3 linked regions of the Rattus norvegicus genome follow. The protein of the gene in region 2 interacts with the protein of the main gene of each other region in a pairwise test. Links are inferred from orthologs where the notes say so. Each region holds a gene or a part of one and is shown on either strand. Other genes may lie near its edges.

Region 1 (3,649 bases), on a different chromosome or scaffold from region 2:
TTTCTCTGTGTAGTCCTTGTCATCCTGGAATCCATTCAGTAGACCAGGCTGGCCTCGAACTCAGATCTGATTGCCTCTGCTTCCTAAGTACTGGAACTAAATGCCACTACCACAGCAAACAAACTCGTGAGTTCAAAGAAAACCACATTAGGTGAAGAGCCACCATCTCCCTGGGTGTAGGTACACACCTTTAATCCAAGCATATGGGAGACAGAGGGAGGTAGATCTCTGAGTTCAAGGCCAGTCTGCTCTACAGAATGAGTTTGAGGACAGCCAGGGCTAGAATACAGAAAAGAACCCTGTCTCAAAAAAAAAAAAAAAGAGAGACAGAGAGAGAAAGAAAGAGAGAGAGAGAGAAAGAGAGAGAGAAACCATAAACTTAAAATCCCAGAGTTATAGAAATAGCTCAGCGGTTAAGAGCACTGAGTACTCTTTCAGAAGACCTGGGTTCAATTCCCAGTGCCTTCATGGCAGCTCAAAACTATGTAACTCCTATTCCAGGGAATCTGACACCCTCAAAGACATGCATACAGCTAAAACACCAATGCACATAAAATAAAGATAAATTATTGAAACAAAGAGATAAAGCATTCAGGGACCAGGCTGGTCTACAGAGCCAGTTACAGGAAAGCCAGGGCTACAGAGAAACCCCATCTCTCAAAACAAACAAACAGGAGTCAATGTTTCACTATCCCAAGAGACATCTATGTCGCCTCCTATTACCCAAGAAAACAACAGGTAAGGCTCTTATGGGTAAGTTCCAGACACACCTTCTCTTTGGAGAAGCAGACCGTGATGGGGACCTTGAGTAGCTCTGCTCACGACTCCTGCTTTGACTTCGACTCTCCTGCCCTTTTAGCAAGCTGCAAACAGAAGCAGAGTAGTTACAGACCGGGAGCATCTTCAGCTTTCAATGGCTATCTGGGCAACAATGATAATCTTACCCATTTACAGGGCTGTCGCCCTTGGCTTTCTTTGGGCCTTCCATTTTCCGTTTGGCATTCTTTACAGAGAGTGGGGAAGACTTGCTTCCTTTACCTTCTTTGGGGGATTCTACTGAATCAAGTAAGAATTTAAAAAATATAATCAGAAATTTCTTCAATACAAAATATACTAGATAAGACCCTGGGACAAGAATGAAAATATACACGAGACTCAGACAGGTCTTTTGTTCACACCACTTTTCCTCAAAGCCCAGGGAATGAGTTATCATATTCTGTGTTCCAACAATATAATCATAGAGTCTAAGTTTAAAAACTTAATCAGTTGACAAGTCAGCTTGGTAAATATGATAAAAAAATGAAAAACAAACCAGCATTTTAAAATGCCAGTCCATATTAATATGAACACAAAGCCGTCAGGGCTTCCCTGACTTACAGCATACTATTGAGGTACGTACGCTTCAGGCTCAATTCCAAGAAAGGTGAACCTCACACCCCCAAACCAGTCAGGTCACAAACTGCTATCCCTTTGTGGGGTGTAAACTGTGGACACTCACCCGGCTTGGGAGCGGGTGAGAACCCTGCAGTAGCACTGTCCAAGCCTGGCGCACTCCCTGGTGGCAGCAGACCCTTGGCTCGTGCCTTTGCCTCTTCGATGGCGTGCTTTCTCTTTTCCACTTCACTTTCCAGATGCGTCAAGTCAACCTGAAAAGCCAGAATCATCCATTCAGAACCAGATGCTTCTGGCCAAACACAAGCACATAACAAACACAAAAACATACAGAGGAACCTTTTTCCGTGTATAAAGCTGCAAGATTTTAAAGCAAATTTCTTGAATTTCCTCTTCAGTTGCTCCAAACAAAAGAAACCAATGTGGACGATTAGGTAAAGGGATCTGTGAACACAAAATATTATCATGTTACTTTCCTTAAAACTCCAAGGCCAGGTATAGTGGTGCATCCCTTTTATTCTCAGCACTCAGAAAACAAGCCGGTGGATCTTTCTGAGTCTGGGGACACCCAGAGCTACATAACAGAGATGTTGTCTCAAAAAAATACCACCACCACCACCACCACCACCACAAAAACACTTCAAGGCCAGTAAGATTCTTAGGGTGACACCTGAAAATGTCCTGTCAGTTACAAAGAACCTTTGTTGCAAATGAACCTAGTTTGACAAATATATCAACATCTCCAACAGGATGGAGAAATGTCTAGAATCTAGACTAAAACCCAGGCAGCCACATACTTACCTCCAGTGTCCGGGCAGCAAGGTAGATACAGGCACAAGCAATGCTTTCAGGCTGGAACCGCACAAAGACATCTGTGCGAAGGCTGTCATTCATGTAGTTCCTGAAATCAAAACCAGGAAGACTGTAATGCCATGGGCAACTATGCCACCACCTGTCATCAAAGGTTGTTATTCTTAAGGGTTCTACACTAGGACTGTGCTGGGTACTCTGGGAATCCCCACAGGTAACAGGGAACATTCTGAATACAGGAAAGAAATAAATCACTGGGGGAAAAAGCTGGCTGAATGTCAGATAATGTTGCTATGAACGAGAACCGACTTTAACTTTACTTTTCCTTCTCTATGACCTGCTATCATGCAAAGCACAATGCTTAGAAAGAAAATGCTACTTAGTTAAAATGTAGTTGATTAAAGAAATCTAAATGTTCAAAATCCATAGTGCAGAGAAACATGCAAACTCAAATGAGAAGGCTGAGCATGAAGCCTCCCAACTGTCAGACAAGCTGTCCTCCTTCCTGTGTTCCTTTTCTTCAGGCAGCATTTGTAGCCCCGTCCTTCTCCAGATGATTGAGCCACAGCTCCAGGGAGGGAGTCCACTTGGGAAAGGAAAGGCCCTTGGGTGCAGTTCAGATGCATGGGCACATCATGCAGAGGAGGTCAACACCCAAGGGAATCCTCTTCTCGGGCTTATCAAAGAACGAAACTGTCCCATTTCAACAAGGAGTCTTAAAATGAACATTCATAAAAATCAGACAAAAGCAACAAAAACACTAAAAGTGGCATCAAACTAAGTACACTAAAGAATGCTATAATACTTTAGCTGATATATATAAGTACAAAACTTCACATTTTTAGAAAAGTTAAAGGTCATTTAAAATTGACTACATCTTTAATAGTTTCTTTATATATTTAAATTTTATAGGCTAAAACCAAGGAGTATACTAGCTTTATCAACAATGCAAAAACAATTCACGAGAAAACACATCATGAGGTTATATACATTGCCCAATATATCCAATGGTACAGCATACCCTAATGTTAGGCTGTACCACATATGAGAGATTTAACTGTTCCCACCCAGTTATCTCTGCCCTAAAACCTTAGAGAAGGTAACATTCAAACCCACTGACATTCTAAACAATAAATTCTACAGATGCCTGTAAGAGGCAGCTGGCCCAGGAAGCAACGCCTCTACATTTAGAAGGGAAGCCAGAATAGTAGCAGCACTACCCATCTCCCAGGAGCCATTCTGTAGCTAATCAGCTTAAACATTCACAAGTAGAACCATCAATAACTTTACAACTAGTAAGGAAATTTTAGTATTCAAATATATTAATTCACTAACTTTGTTCTAAAAACAAATGAAATCCTTCAAAGGTCTATTTAAACTTAATGCTATATTTCAAATAAATTACAGTATTTTAATTTAAAGATGCACACCTTTACTGGAATGAGTC
Region 2 (4,203 bases):
GTGGTGCATTCCTGTGCTCAGAAGGCAGAGGAAGGGGGGGATCTCAGTGAGTCTGAGAGCAGTCTGGTCCTACAATTGGAATTCCAGGCTAGCCAGGGCTACATAGTGAGATCCTGTCTCAAAACAAAACAAGCAAATAAGCAAACAACAAAACACAAAAACAGGGGCTGGGGATTTAGCTCAGTGGTAGAGCGCTTACCTAGGAAGCGCAAGGCCCTGGGTTCGGTCCCCAGCTCCGAAAAAAAGAACCAAAAAAAAAAAAAAAAAAAAAAAAACCAAAAAAAAAAAAAACCACAAAAACATACAAAGGCAATGATTTGACACCAAAGACAAGAGACAACAACAAAGGCCAGGTTGGACACTTCATGGAAATTCAAGTTTTTCTGAGTATCAAATGGCAGTATCAACAGTTTTAAAAGACGACTCACAGAGTGGGAGAAAATGGTGCAAATCAGATCTGATAAGTCATTGATATCCATAATGTATAGTCTTAAATTCCACATTAAGAGGAGCTACCCAATCGAACACGGGCGATGTTCAAATCCTGGAAGTGGTTTACCAGGAACGGAGCAGGCAAACCGGGACGTGAAGAGCAACATGGGAACCCAGGGTAGCACAGAAGCCAAACTGGGCTTCCAAGTCCCGCCCAGCTAAAAGCTAACCATTTTTGACGGCCCTCCCTATCAATGTAAATCTACTTAAATCCTTAAAATCTACTGGTCGGTGAGGTGGCTGCTGCTAAGAACCTGCCTGGAGTTCAGGATGCCAGACTGCCAGCAACCCCAAATCCCTATCCTAGTGGTTCCAAGCTCTCGACTCAAATGCTTTCGCTGAGTTCCCATCCCCCACCCGTGGAGAGACTGGCTTGCTTGGCTAGCGCAGATGAATGCAGCCCCCGCAGAGGTAGACAGAAGAGGCAACTTCTGTGCTGCCTTTAGTTTCTGAAGTGTTAGCACCTTAATGCTACCTTCAGTCTCTGAAAGTGGCCTGGGTCGGGCTGGCAAGCCTGGGATGAGTGGATAGGGGGTAGGGGTGGGATAAGGAGGTGAGGGTCTCCATTCTTCAGGGTACAATGAGAAATCTAAGACAGACAGCACCGACTTCAGGTCAGAAACAAGGGAAGCGTCAAAGCTGAGATGCTAGGCGAGGATCCCCAGCCCTGAGTGTGGGGGTGGAGAAAAGGGCCCTTCTCTATACAATCTCCGTTGTCTCTCCGGGGGACCCCCTCCGCTCTCTCAAGGGCCTCAGTCCTTCCCCTCCCCCAAACCCTGCGCCCTTTGTGGATTGGTCCCAGGCTGCCGGGGCGGGGCCTTATGGCCCTGACGTCACCGGCCGAGGAGGGAGGGGGAGACGGGCGACTGGGGGAGGGGGTGACGAGCCCCGGCTCAGCACCTCGGAGAGCTCCCTCCCCGGCCTTGTTTTGCTCCGGAATCGCTGCTGGGGGAGGGAGCGAAGGGGCCGGCCCTAGGTGTCCAGGCCGAGGGATGGCAGTGAAGAGGACGAAGGGCCCCCGGGGGCAGAGGGCCCAGGCGTGATCCTGCGAGGGGGGCCGGGGCGCCGGGTGGGGTGGGGGGCAGCGGGCGGCGGCAGTAGTGGCCGCACATCTGGATGGAAGCGAGCTTTGTCCAGACCACCATGGCTCTGGGGCTGCCCTCCAAGAAAGCATCTTCCCGCAACGTGATCGTGGAGCGCAGGAACCTGATCACCGTGTGCAGGTGGGCGCCGCTAGCGGTCGGGGTGGGGTGGGATGGTGAGAGTGGTTGGAACCGGCTAAGAAATCTAAGGGTTGAGCATGCCCATGAGGATGCTCTGCAGCCGCTGAGAAAAGGCAGGTCAGCAAGGGTTAGAAGGAACGCGCTCTCTATCCTTCCCGGGTCCGGAACCCGGAGGCAGGCTGAAATGTCGGTCCTTATTCTTCTTGGCTAAGCCAGGCCTATGTCTGGCCTGGGGTTTGGGGGGGATGAAGAGAGTTTAATTGGCACTGCAGTTTCCTGTGAGAACCAGGAAGTGACATTGTGTATGAGTGGGGGAGGAGGGAGGATGGCTGGCTCTCTTCCTGGCAGTGGGGGCAGGGTGGGCAGAGGGGACTCAATGGGGTTGGGGGGTGGATGTCCTCCAAGTCCCCTCTTGCCACCTCTGCCAGCATGGCCTCTTGGAGCTTTCCTGAGAGACTTTCCTATGCTCGACCCTAAAGCAAGGATGGTGTTTCTGGGTAGCAGCAGCCAGTGACAGCACCAATTGTGCACAAAGGCCCTGAACCCATCCAATGAAGAAGGTGAGGGTACTCATTACCTTGTTCTAGGAAGGCAGAAGCTGAGGCTCTGAGTCCAAGTGACGATTGGGAGCCCAGATCCCTAAATCCCTGAGGGTGGGGCGGTTGCAGGGCTAGGAAAATTCTCTTTCTTGGACACCAGGAAGTAACCCTTCTCACTTCGAGCCTTCAGTGACTCACCCTCCCTGCCCTGCCCTGAGGCCCGAAAGCCACCAGCTATGCAGGCTCTCTCCCAAACCCCCACCTGTCCTTGCTGCTCCGTCTGGGATCTCCACGCCAGCTGCCTTCTCCACCTGCAGCCTCCATGTTCAGCGGGGTGCTGCGTCTTGGCTCATAGTACTCCCAGGCTCAAGACTGAGTTGTCCTTTCTTGCCAGCCCCACTTCCCTGAACATAAACCTCAGGCCTGCTCCTTCTCCTGGAAATCATGCCCACCTGATGCCCAGTCTCCCGTTACCCAGTGTTCCTTTGGATTCTGAACATGTACCGAGCCATGTTGCCTCTGTGTCAGAGCATCCCTTTCCCTGTGTCTCGAAAGTGCTGTGCACATCCCCCTGTAAGAAGGTGGCTCCAATGTGCGTCTGTGACACAAGCACAGATGCCATCCCTGCCTTTCGTACTCCAAACCTGCCTGTGTGGTTTCTGCCCTTGGAACTACAGAGTCCTAGGATCGAGTTTTTGCTTCAGTATTTATCTGGGCAACACCGGGGCAGTCTCCTAGTCATGCTCTGAGCCTTTGGTGTTTTTTCTTAGGTTTTATATCTTAGGTGTAAAAGCCACACCAAAGAATGGGTCATGGTGTGTCACATTAGATACTAGCCGGTGCCTGGCACACAGAAACATCTCAATGACACCCTTCTGGCCCCTCTCTTGACAATCTAGGTGCATCTTTTTCTCTTGCCTGCCAGGAGAACTGTGTAGGAAAAGGAGAAAAAGCCACTCGACCTGAGTCGGAGAAAGAGAGGTTCAAGGGACTTAGAGGTAGCTCAGAGTGGGGAACAAGGAATAGTTTAGGGGCTTGGGGATATGACAAATTCTCCAAATCCTGAGGGACCCTGCTACCTCATTATTGTCACGTGGTTCTCCTCCAGCTTCCAGCAGCTCCCTTTAGCAGGCTGAGGGCTCCCCTGGGCCCTGGCCTCCCTGTCTCCATGGTAACCCCAGCAGCTATCCTCCTCCTAACCAGGACCACACCATGGGGTTCCTAGAGGCTCGGAGCAGCTCTCCACTCCCCCCTAGGACAGACAGCAGATGGTTGCCAAGCTGACCAAGCCCCAGGCCTCTACTGAAGTCTGACCCAGATGACCACAGATCGGTGGTGTGCAAAACAAAGCCCAGTTGCTGGCCAGGCCAGCCTTGCCTCCTCACCTGGCCTGTGCCCAGTAATCAATACACTCTCACCTTCTCCCACCCTTCTCTGGGATCTGAACTAAAGTGGAATGGGGCAAGTGCTAATATTTCTATTTTCACCCAAGGAAAAAGGCTTTGAATCCAGCAGCCTGCTTCCCCCTAGCACAGTCTAACACTGACCGATCTGGTCTCAGGCTCCATCCTCTGGTAACCCCAAAGGAAGGTGATGGGGAGGGGGTTCCTGGTTGTGCTGTTTTCTTGGGAGCCTTAGTAACTAGTGCTTAATGACTGGAGGCTTCTAAAGTAGAGGTCAGAGGTCACTCAGCTCCTCAGTAATTGTTTGTATGTTTAATTTTTTTTTTAAAGGCAGGGTCTATTGTAGTCCTGGCTGTCCCCTAATACACTGTGTAGAGCAAGCAGTCCTGGAACTTACAAATCCTCCTGCCTCTGCCTCCTGAGTGTTGGGATCAGATAAGGCATGTGCCGCCATGCCTGGCTAGTACTCTCTTCTTTAATATTATTTATTTATTTATCTGTTTATTTAACCGTGTGTACATGTGCCACCGTGTGAGTACGGAAGTC
Region 3 (2,426 bases), on a different chromosome or scaffold from region 2:
TGGAAAACAAGGGAAAAAAAAGTTTTGTCCCCTCTTCTGGCTCCTTCGTATGATTTTCTGGGACCTCTTTCCTTGTGTTAAAACTTGGAACTGTGAACAGTTGCTTGGGGGAACCCTCCCCCACTGCCTCCTTCCCCTCCACTTCCTCTGCTTCCCCACCCCCATTTTTTTTTCCAGGCTTGAAACTTTCGCTTGCCGGTGTCAAGCAGCCAATACAGAGCCTTAATGGCTACTTTAACGGGGAAAAATGCATTAACCAAAATCAACGAGGAACGTACACGCTGTATAGAGCCATTTTTCCATCAGGGTCTCAGATGCTCAGCAACGGACACCCCCTCGGACCACAGCTGAAGGCTAGGGATGCTGGCCACACAAGTCAGCCAGGTTCCTCGGACATCCCAGCCAATACAACAAAGTCGTCTCCAATCTCAAAGCAAGAAGACAATCACATTAAGAGAATCGGGTGCGTTTGGCTTTGTGCACAGAGCGTGGCCAGCGCCCGGCGGCAGACAGCGCCTCACAGGATCACACAGGCCGAGCAGCAGCCCTCGTCGCCGTTGGGCTGTGCCGCGTAGTTCATCTGCCTCACGATCTCTGCGAATAGCTCATCCACTGAGGCTTTGTTTTTGGCCGATGTTTCCATGAAGGGGCAGCTCCACTCCTCGGCCAGGGCCTTGCCCTCGCCATAGGAGACCTCACGTTCGCCCTCCAGGTCCACCTTGTTGCCTACCAGGATCATGGGTACGCGCTCGTACCGTTTCACGCGGATGATCTGGTCCCGCATGGGCTTGATGTCCTGGAAGCTCTGCTGGTTGACCAGGCTGTAGACGAGGATGAAGCCCTGGCCATTCTTGATGTACAGGTCCCGCATGGAAGCGAACTGCTCCGTGCCCGCGGTGTCCAGGATCTCCAGAACCGACGGCGACGAATCCACCTCGATCTCCTTGCGGTAAAAGTCTTCAATGGTTGGGTCGTACTTCTCGATGAAGGAACCTGTTACGAACTGCACGGTGAGCGCGGACTTGCCCACGCCACCCGAGCCCAGTACCACCACTTTGTACTCTCTCATGGCTCCGTCGGCGCCCTCGTCGCGCCTGCCGCGGCCCCGTCGGGGCTGCGCGCCGGGGAAGGCTGGGTTGGGCGGGCGGGTGGACTTCTCCCCTTCCTCAACTCCGCAGGAACAACCCTGGCGAGACTAGCCCGGTAGCACGGGCTCGCCAACAGGCTAGCAGAGCCCCGCGCCGGGCCGACCGGCAGCGGGGGCGCGTCCCTAGGGCGCGGGTCCCGGGCCCCGCAGCAGTCCTGGCGGAGGACCCTGAGGACAATGCGCGCAGTCGGAGCAAGACAACGGCTGGAGCTCTTCGCCACGGCAGCCTGGGAGGGCCGGGAGGCGGTGGCGGCTGGTTGCAGAGGCGGCTGCTAATTGTGCGTCCGGCTGAGACACGCGTGGCATGAGTCCCCACGGAACGTGCGTCCAGCTCCGCGGCCCATCACTCTCTCCTCTCTCTCCCGCAGCCTTCGCTGGGCGAGGGCTTCCTACTCGCCGCGCGCAGCCCGGCCCTCCCCGCCCAGCGGAGCATGCCCAGTGCGCCGCCCGCGGTGCCCCGCCCGAGCTCCGCTCCAGCTTTTCCGCCGCATCGGGAGTGGGCGTGGTAGAGGGAGGGGCAATCAGGGACTGGGCGGGGCGGGGGCGGGGCGGCGCGAATCTTGGAACTGGGCAACCCGGCTTGTCTGTGCTTGTAGGTGGAAAGCTCTCCAAACCCAAGCCACCACCACCGTCTGGGCTCCGCGGGCCTCCTGAGGGCGCAGCAGACAGCAGCTGGCTGTGACCTCCTCGTCGGCTTCCGCTGTTAAAGGATAAGACACCTATTCCTAAACCCAGGCCGCTGCGCACCTCTAAGAATCATACACTTGCAGGGCATTTTTCAGGCCGGGGAAGGTATAGAGAGGCTCGGGCCCCAACTTGGCACTATGTTCCCGTGTCATTTCCCCTCGAAGAACTCGGCTTGAGTCCCTGTCCGGACCAGGAGCTAGCGGGTGGGAATTTGTGGGTCGCCACAGCCTTCGGGGCAGGAGTTGCCGGGTCATCCTACCTCCCCTTTGGCTAGAGCCAAAACCAGGCTAGTGGATCGAGCCCCGCGGAAGGCCCGCGGCTCCCGCACCCAGTCAGGGCATGCTCAGTCGGCAGAGCAGGTTCGGGGCTTGCAAGTAGGAAGGTTTCGCACCGCACACCCACACGCCAGCTCAAATTACCTCTCCCAGACTCCCAACTCATTGGCCCCAGGATGTGAGTCTCACACCCCCAAATGTTTTCCCATTGGCTGTTCCCGAGGTTTTGTCACTTTAGACAGCTTCATTGGCTGGAAAGTCGCCTCCGCTTAGGATTGGTTATTTATAGAGATTGAGTGGAGAGGCGGAGGCCCAGC

What was found.
Region 1: the proteins of Rundc3a (region 2) and Ccnl2 interact in binary tests that used the Homo sapiens proteins (3 or more experiments, as listed by UniProt). The two-hybrid records come from large-scale screens. The link is inferred for Rattus norvegicus from reciprocal best matches to the Homo sapiens genes RUNDC3A and CCNL2.
Region 3: the proteins of Rundc3a (region 2) and Rap2b interact in binary tests that used the Homo sapiens proteins (3 or more experiments, as listed by UniProt). The two-hybrid records come from large-scale screens. The link is inferred for Rattus norvegicus from reciprocal best matches to the Homo sapiens genes RUNDC3A and RAP2B.

Annotation. Positions count from the first base shown.
Region 1 is NC_086023.1:171,706,259-171,709,907, reverse strand, and holds part of Ccnl2 (cyclin-L2), read right to left. Parts: exon of another isoform or gene 2,431-3,649; coding exon of another isoform or gene 2,294-2,430; coding exon 2,194-2,293; intron 1,837-2,193; coding exon 1,732-1,836; coding exon of another isoform or gene 1,724-1,731; intron 1,647-1,723; coding exon 1,499-1,646; intron 1,057-1,498; coding exon of another isoform or gene 1,054-1,056; coding exon 945-1,053; intron 864-944; coding exon 771-863; intron 765-770; exon of another isoform or gene 189-764; intron 107-188; exon of another isoform or gene 1-106. UniProt on the Homo sapiens protein: Involved in pre-mRNA splicing. May induce cell death, possibly by acting on the transcription and RNA processing of apoptosis-related factors.
Region 2 is NC_086028.1:87,851,411-87,855,613, forward strand, and holds the start of Rundc3a (RUN domain-containing protein 3A), read left to right. Parts: upstream 1-1,371; 5' UTR 1,372-1,608; coding exon 1,609-1,715; intron 1,716-4,203. UniProt on the Homo sapiens protein: May act as an effector of RAP2A in neuronal cells.
Region 3 is NC_086020.1:147,748,030-147,750,455, reverse strand, and holds Rap2b (ras-related protein Rap-2b), read right to left. Parts: upstream 1,070-2,426; coding exon 518-1,069; downstream 1-517. UniProt on the Homo sapiens protein: Small GTP-binding protein which cycles between a GDP-bound inactive and a GTP-bound active form. Involved in EGFR and CHRM3 signaling pathways through stimulation of PLCE1.